Linked DNA regions of Kluyveromyces lactis. The protein of the gene in region 2 interacts with the protein of the main gene of each other region in a biochemical or structural test. Links are inferred from orthologs where the notes say so. Each region holds a gene or a part of one and is shown on either strand. Other genes may lie near its edges.

Evidence for each region. The genes of interacting proteins can lie anywhere in the genome.
Region 1: the proteins of RAD16 (region 2) and RAD7 form a complex in vitro, tested with the Saccharomyces cerevisiae proteins (2 studies listed by BioGRID). The link is inferred for Kluyveromyces lactis from reciprocal best matches to the Saccharomyces cerevisiae genes RAD16 and RAD7.

Annotation. Positions count from the first base shown.
Region 1 is NC_006037.1:709,494-713,605, reverse strand, and holds RAD7 (UV-damaged DNA-binding protein RAD7), read right to left. Parts: upstream 2,376-4,112; coding exon 648-2,375; downstream 1-647. Other genes in the region: PRP39 (Prp39p), read left to right, coding at 1-587; GTPase-activating protein GYP1, read right to left, coding at 2,695-4,112. UniProt on the Saccharomyces cerevisiae protein: Component of the global genome repair (GGR) complex which promotes global genome nucleotide excision repair (GG-NER) which removes DNA damage from nontranscribing DNA.
Region 2 is NC_006038.1:809,376-814,182, forward strand, and holds RAD16 (DNA repair protein RAD16), read right to left. Parts: upstream 3,200-4,807; coding exon 803-3,199; downstream 1-802. Other genes in the region: LYS2 (L-aminoadipate-semialdehyde dehydrogenase), read left to right, coding at 1-697.

The DNA.
Region 1 (4,112 bases), on a different chromosome or scaffold from region 2:
CGATACTGGTAGTTGAACTAATAAAAGTGCATTGGCTGGTATTGAAGAACGTCATTCAATGCAGGAAACACTTTACATACTTCGCCAAATTGGATCCGATCAAGACTTCAGTCTTATTTTGGTTGACTTACTACAAGTTTGAAAAGACTCAAAAAAATATCGCCAGATTAACAAAGTTTGTCGATCAATTAGGCACTGAGATCGTATTACCAACAAAAGTTATCAATGATATCGTACGAGATTTCCAAGGGTTTTATCTAATCAATGCAGATTATTCCGAGTACGAAACCAATTTATCGCAATCCCGTTTTGGGTTTGACCCAATAGTTCACAATAGGTTCAAAATCAACAACCCAACATGGAGGCCGAACGCCAAGCTAACCAAGGACTGGTATAAATCAGAAAAGTATAGATCGAACGGTCATCCTGGATTGTTCATTGATAAGCCTCAAATTAAAAATACTATAATAGAGACGCTTGCATCGAAGCAGCTCAATCCAGCACCTTTGCCTACTTTTAGAAATTTAGAAAAGATCCATCAGAAACCTAAATTTGATGATTACATGTCTATAGATTATTTAAAGTAGTAGCTGAAAGGGCATTCTCACACTCAAGCATTTTCATGATCCTAGAATTTTTTTAATCATTTATATACTGTCACTTTGCCTTCCGATAATGCTTACACCATTCCGAGGAGAGCATTTGCCTGTGACTTGATTATCACCATAAACTTCAATAATAGTGAGCTTTTCATTGTCCTTGGATATCTTTTCCACAATTTCATTATCCACACAGTGGACAAACCCTATATTTAGCTGCTTGAGGTTAGGACATGCCATGAAGGTGAAAGTTTTGGATGTTAGGGATTTCAGACCATTTAGATTCAACTCTTCTAAGGTGGAAGAGGAGTTAAGTAATAATTCAACTACGGCTGCATCCTCCAAAGCAAAACATCTTTTCAAGCTACATCTTTTCAACAAAGGGAACTGCAACGAAGAGAATAATAGAACTATGCCGTCGGTGGTTATCTGATCCAATTCTTCTAATTCCAAGTCTGTAAGGATTGATTGCCCTGAGTTAGACAAAAATGGTAAAAATCCATTAATTATACAGCTATCAGTCAAGCCAGTGCATCTATTGAGCGACAACTTCCTAAGGTTCTGGCCTATGGATCCTAACAAACTTATAATAACCTCGTCATTAATATCTGTTTCTCTAGATGGCTCTTCCAAGATCAAAGTGTGGAAATTAGGAGAGTTAAGATATTGCGGTAATAGGGCGTAATTTGTCACAGTATCTAGAGTTGCTAGACCTAGAGATTCCAAGGACGATCCACAATTTCGAAGCATAGCTGACAATGCATTATCATTGAATCTATGGGTATTGGAAACATGAAAAGCAGTAAGTCTACCCTTTAGCAATTCGAAGAATTGAACCCATGTATCCTCATTAATTAAGAACGGTCCATCAAGGTATAGTTCTTTTAGGTTTGGTAGCTTTTCGGCTAGATACAAGAGAGCTTCATTATTTAACTGTCCACACATCTGTAAGGAAAGCGACTCTAAATGCGGCGAAAAGATGGCAAGTCTCTTGTAGCCTTCATATGACAACTTTGAACAGTCATAAAACGTCAAAGTAGTTAAACTGGTGTTCAAGAATAACTGTAAAGTATCATCATTCAAGGCCCGATTTTTTGTCAAAGCTTGTGCTAGTTTGTTCAAGTTTTCTAAAGATACACCACCTAAAGTATCTCTAATATGTTCCACCATCGATTGTGCATTATATTCCACAATAGATTTACCGATAACTTTAATACATATATCCTGCAATGATGAAATGAGTGAGTCCTTCTTGTCTAAAAGATTGGCAGCCTTCTTTCTTCTAGTTTTCTTCTGTTGATGGCGAGCCTTAGCTAGTTGCGGAGAAGTTTTCTTACCATTAGTCAAGGTCAACATCCTTTTCTTTCGATCAGAAACCGGCAATACTTCTTCTTCCTCATCAGAATCTTCTAGGTCAGCACCACGTAACCGGCGAAGCCTCGCCTCTGCTTTGTAGTCATCGTCATCTTCGTCGTCGTCGTCCTCATCATCATCACTTTCTCCGGAAGAAGACGACTCCTGCTTCTTAACAGCTCTGGGCTTTCTTGACCGTTTTTTTGCAGCTACCCCTGCTTTAAGATCTTCATCAGATTCTGTTTCAGAATCATCCTTCTGAGTTTCTTGTGGATGTTCGGCTTCCTTCTTTTGAGCTTCTAACCATCTATCTCTAATATTCTCAGCACTAATACCTTGTTCCTTTAAAAACTGGGTCAAAGCACTGTTTGGTCCTCTTACGCCACTACCATCGTTGTTCCGACGACTCCTTGCTCTATACATGTCGATATCTCGTGGAATAGCCCCTTAACCGCCAGTCGAGACTACCTTATCTACCAGCAACTTCATTGAGATGAGATGAGATTAAGTTTTGATTAATTATTTGCTAACAATAATTTCAGACACTGCAAACAATAATGATGCTACTGATGAGAAAAAAAGCAAGAGATATGCGAGGAGAAGTATGCTAGAAGATTCACGGAACCTGCAGGTGGGCTGTTAGTTATTCATTCTCCACAATACAGTTGTTTGAATCAGGCAGTTTACATTATATATTAGATATATGTGAAAGTATTAAATTTTAGTATTCTCCCTTCAAAGATCACCTCCAATGAGAAGTAGCATCTTTGTACAACGACTGCCATATGTAAGCTTCACTTAGTAACATTTCTATATCAGATTCCTTCCACGATTTTGTCGGTGGATTTTGTAAGAATGTAATTATCTCTTGGAAGTCCATCTTCATTAATTCGTCTGACCATTTCACTAGGAAAGCTGCACAAACGAAAACATGAAATTCACTGAGAGTAGTTTGTCTGGAGTCTGAAGATGAGGGCCCTGATGACGATGTTCTCGACTTTCTATCCAGAGAAGTCGATGCGTCAGACATGAGATCCTCTGAGACTATGCTTGTCTCCAAAGAAGTCTCGGAGAGGTATGTATCCCACATTCGTATCACCATTGACATTTGGAACTCTCTCATCAACAAACAGTTCATCCATCTGACACTAAATTGTAAGAATTCAACGTGCTCAGATTCGAAATGGCTGAATAAATCACAATCTATTCTTTTCACCAACTGACTGAGGTGTTTGACTTGTTTCAATATTCCAGGCTGACCATGGATGAAATAATCTGTGATTTGTTCCAAGAGTTTGGATAGACACCAGAAACAATCCGCTTCTACATCAGACAACTGCTCTGCAGTCAAATACGTCAGCGGATCTAAACTGTAAACGTCATCCTTTGCCGATGGTGAAAGGTATTCGGACAAAAACACTTGGAAAAAAGGTGTCACTAGATCGTTGATCCCCTGTACGTAACCACTGGCAGGATGTCTTATGGCCCAAAAATACAATATCCGTTTCAATGAATTATGAACTGATTCGAATTGGTACAATGGAATATGTGGGTTGGTTCTCGGTATGTCAATTTCAATTTGATGCCAAGTTGTTACATCTTTCTCATGGTTATCGGAAAAGATATGATCTACACCCTGCTTATATTCCAGTCTTTTACGGTTCAATACCTGTTCTTGTCTCTTCAAATTACTCGGTAAGTATCCAATCAAAAGCTTCCATACAACAGGTCTATGTACCATGGGGATACCATTCCAAGCCAACTTACGGATCTCGGGTAGGTTCACCTGCGTGGTGGAATCCTTTGGTTTGATCAATTTTTTGAACTTTTCAATTCTAACCATCAAACTATTCAACTCTTGCACATCCTTCTCCACTTCAATCTGATACTGTAATTTCAAATCATTACTGATGGTCCTATTCAAATTTGGGATAGTTCCTTGATAAGAATCCATTGAGGATTTCTGTGATTCAATGGCTCGATCGTCCTGTATCACAGCTGGAGGCCGCAGAGTGGTTTCTATACCACCGTTATTAATCATCGGTATCGGCATATTATAATCATCTATCACTGCACTCCAATCCTCATCTAGGTCCTTGAAATATTTATCCCTTGTAGTATGGTGTAAATGATGATTATGGTGATGCAAATGGGTCTGAG
Region 2 (4,807 bases):
AAGAAGAGCGGGGGAGCGTGGTCTTCGCGGCTGCATTGTTAGACCAGGTTATGTTACCGGTGCCTCATCCAATGGGTCGTCCAATACTGATGATTTCTTGTTAAGATTCTTAAAGGGGGTGGTACAGTTGGGTCAAATCCCTAACATCAGCAACACAGTTAATATGGTACCTGTTGATCATGTAGCACGTGTTGTAACAGCCAGTGCTTTCAATCCTCCTAACGAACATGAGCTAGCTGTTGCACATGTAACGGGCCATCCGCGTATCCTATTCAAAGATTATCTATACCAATTGAAGAAGTATGGCTACAACGTTGAAATTCAAGAATATGCAGACTGGAAGTTATCTCTTGAACATTCTGTAATCGCAAGAGGTGAAGATAATGCCTTGTATCCATTGTTACATATGGTATTGGATGGCTTAGCGGAGAACACCAGGGCTCCTGAATTAGATGATACAAATGCGACTTCATCCTTGCAAAAAGATAAAAAATGGACAGGTGTTGACGTTTCTTCAGGGAAAGGAGCTACCCCAGAACAAATCGGTATTTATATTGCCTTTTTGAATAAGGTAGGCTTTTTGCCTCCTCCACCAACGACTGGTGAATTGAATTTACCTCAAATATCATTGTCTGAAGAGCAAATCAAGCTAGTTTCTTCAGGAGCTGGTGCTCGTAGTAGTTCCGCTGCTGCTTGAAAACATTTAAGGGACAGTATACTTTTTAATATAAATATGGATGTATATAAACATCCGTAACTAAAAAGAAGTATGCATCTTTATGTATTTTATCCTGATATAAAATCAATTGTTGAATAAAAACTGCAAATCTGCCGGAGTCAATCTATTAATTGCCGCCTCGTCCTGATTGATTGTTGCATGAATCATGCTAGCCTTCTTTTCTTGAAGTTCGATAATTCTGGACTCTATGCTATCTTCAATACAGAATCTTGTAATTTTCACTGGCCGGAATTGACCAATTCTATGGACTCTATCACCACTCTGCCATTCAACACTGGGGTTCCACCATGGGTCTAAGATGAACACCTGCGAAGCTTCACATAAGTTAAGAGCCACACCACCAGCTTTCAAACTAACTAAGAAAACCTCACAATGGATATTCTCCATAAAATATTTAATTGTTTGATCTCTTTGAGTGGGAGTCATACTGCCTTGCAATTTAACTGTTTGGAAACCTGCACGTTTTAATCTCCATTCAACAAGATCTAACATTGATGTGAATTGGGAAAAGACAATCGACTTGATCGTGCGCTTGTCACTTCTCAAGTTGTATAACTCCTCAACCAAAGCCTCAATCTTAGTGGAGGACCTCCATTTACCTCCCATTTTTAACCGACTGACAATACTTTGCTTTTTGAATAGTTCTTCATCAACTTCAAGAGCTTGTTGTTGTAAATCGATACTGAGTCCAATGTGACATACCGGACATGTTAGTTTTTTTTCATCTGCCATGAAAGAATCAATATATTCGTTGATGCAGAGGCGACAAAACCTATGATGGCATTTGGATTCAATTGGTTCTTCAGCTTCATCATCACATAACTGACAGATAATAACACCGGGGTTATTATCATTATTTCCCTTGAGCCTTTTCAATACTAGATCAGGATGGTCCGCCATCTGTCTCATTCTAGTGATTAAGGTAAAGATATTAGCATAATTATTCAAAACCACACCTTCCTCAACATAAGAGTTATACTTCCTTTTGATGTCCGAGTATAAACTTTGATAGAGATCCTTCTCCTCTTCGTTGAAGTAATCCTTTCTAACAGTAACGATTCTTGGTGGCAATCCAAGGTCGTCCGCTCTTTCCACCTTGGTTCTCCTCAACATGATCCTAGCCAATAAGGTCTGAATATTTTGGAAAGATTGTAGACCCGGTCCTTCAATGCCATGTTTTTGAACGTTTTTCAACATGAAATGATTGAAGAAATTTGTGTGCTGCATACCAACATGACCACAGTCATCACAATGTAAATAATCTGAGAAACGCCAATTTTCAGATGAACAAGAACATTGCTTGCAATAGTACCTCGTGAATGGTTCAATGTTTAAGAATCTAATCAAAGAGTACATTTCACCGATTCTATTCTGCAAAGGTGTACCAGACAAACACCATCTTTTTTTCGTCTGGAGGGAGTTAACAGCTTTGGCAGTGTTACTTGTTCTATCCTTGATATTATGAGCTTCATCTAAAATTACTCGGTAAAAGTTGATAGAATGTAATAAACTCTTTTCTTTTACTGTTCCAGCCTTTCTTTTAAAACCATAAACTTGTTTTCTATAGACGGATTCCAAAACAGCGTAAGTGGTCAAGATAACGTCAACGTCTTTGAAATCACCTAGATTGTTCGTTCTATTAGCTCCATGGTACATGTATACGGATAATTTCTTGTTTGTGTGTTGTTCGATTTCATTTTTCCACTGCATTAACGCCACTGTTGGTGCCACGACAAGAGATGGTTTCCTTGTGATATCGCTCATCAGCAAAGCTATCGTTTGTATGGTTTTACCCATACCCATCTCATCAGCAAGCACACCACCATTATAATCCGATTCTTCTTGTTGTTGCAACCAGTGCAAACCTTCCAACTGAAAAGGTAATAATCTAATGGCCATACCATCAGGCTGAGGAGCTCTTTCCACCTGCCGTATCGGCGATTCCTGTAATTTTTTGAACACATCGATAAGTTCTGAATGATGAGCATACAACTTTGCTGTGTTTCTTTCGAAAGGAGAGATCTTGGGTTTTGTCGGCTTCTTCTTAGTAGCAGTGGCACCACCAGCCCTACCATTAGCCTTTCTCTTCTTCTTTTGCGGTCCATTTTGCAGAGGTTCATCATCATCAGAAGAGGATATCAGTTCGACTACCTGTTCACGTTTGAGCTCATCACTTGATTCATCACCAGATCTGTCCGTCTGATCCGATAAGAGAACCAAAGAATCATCATACTCTAAATCCGAATCCAAATTTCGGTTTGCCTTAGTTGTGCCCTTGGTTTTGCACTTGCCCTTGTCATTGGCTTTTGCGTTACCCTTATTGCTCTTAATTTCTTTCTTTACTAATGGCTCATCCTCGGACTCACCTGAACTTGATTCAATGTATACGACATTCTTCTTGGCAGTTCGAGTCCGGTTCCCGCTCTGCCTTGTCCTTCTGATGAACCCACCTTCCTCCATCGTCATCTTATTTTCAACTCAGAGATCAGTGCAAGTTCCCTTGTTTGATGCGTGTATTCTTATAATTTGCTGATGCTAATCAGTATCTCCAAGCTTGCAACAATGTATTAAGGTTAGCCTTTGTAGTATTTCGGGCTTCAGCAAACGCTTTTTTCATCAGAAATGAATCAGGATCCATCATCATAGGTAAATGTTTAGCCATGTAGAAAATCACATCAATACCTTTTCTTTTTCGAGGAAAATGCAGTCGTTTCTTTTTAATCAAGATCAGAGTTGTTCCGGGCGGAGAAACTTGCCAAGGTGACGTACGTACCTCAATATTTCTTTCGGAGAAACAACAAGATCAGAATGATCACGTGACCAATTGACCAAAAGATGTGGCTCATTCATAGGAATAAAAACCGTACGCTCTACACTGTACACTACCACGCGTCTTCGCTCACTCCATGGTATACAAGGGTGTTGCTGTCATACCGTCTCGGCTGTTATGCGAAGGTAACGAAATATTTTTTTTTTTTCTTTCGAAAAAAACGTCGACTCAAGCCATCATCACAAACTCGTCCCAGAAGCAACGTACGACTCGCATATTTGCTGAATCTGGCAAATCGCATACCGTAATATCATTAGAATTAGCCCCAAGGCAATTCTTAAGCACTCGAGGGAAAAAAAAAAGATAGAAACGAACATTCACACACAGAAACTTACAGCTGAGAGAAAGAAAGGAAACAGTAGAAAAAAAGAAAAAGCAATGATGAAGTAAGCCTGATTAACATGGTGGTGCGAGCGCCAATGCTTTGCATACTTTACCTGCCTCTGTTCCACTGAAAATCCAACAGAGAAGTGTTTGCAGCAGATAACACGAACACAGACATCAGTTTTTTTTTCCCCGGTCAGGGTGAATTCATCGCCTCCCTCCACTTCGTATTATCACCCCTCGAGTTTTTGATTCGTAATAGAAGAAGGCAAGAATCCTGTGATATTTTATCGTTTCTTCCATGATGCAGGTTGTCAGAGAGAAGATTCTATATGCCAGGAGATAAAATAAAGAGCTACTCCACAGACCTACCTGTACAAGTAGACTCAATGGAGACGTTCATACACAAGAGTAATTAGATATAGGGTAGACATAGTACTAAATAGATACAGCATCTTGACATAAAACTGACGGTTTGCCAAAATGTCGACATTACTGAGAGATTCCGCTAAAAACGCCCGCAGATTCCGTTGAAAAAAAAAAAAAAAAAATTAAAAATAACAAATAAACGTTTGCATTGGTTTTGAAGAAACAGAAAAAAAAAAATTGAAATAAATAAATGTTTAGAATTCTACTAACACGATACTTAAGTTTGATTGTCAACATCTTTGTTGTTTTTTTTGGAGAGAAGGACACAAATAGGTAACGAAGATCTGCGAGAATTATTGGTTCTGTATTTTGATAGTAGGTTATAAACCTGGAACGATTGATCGTACTTTAGCTCAGTGATAATAGCGAGAGCCAGGTTATTTTTTAAGTGTGACGTAAAGGGTTTGTATTTTGGTCTACTAAAAGCAAGAAATATTCAGACTTATAGCCTGGGAAATAGCACGAATACACTCTCACACGCTTGT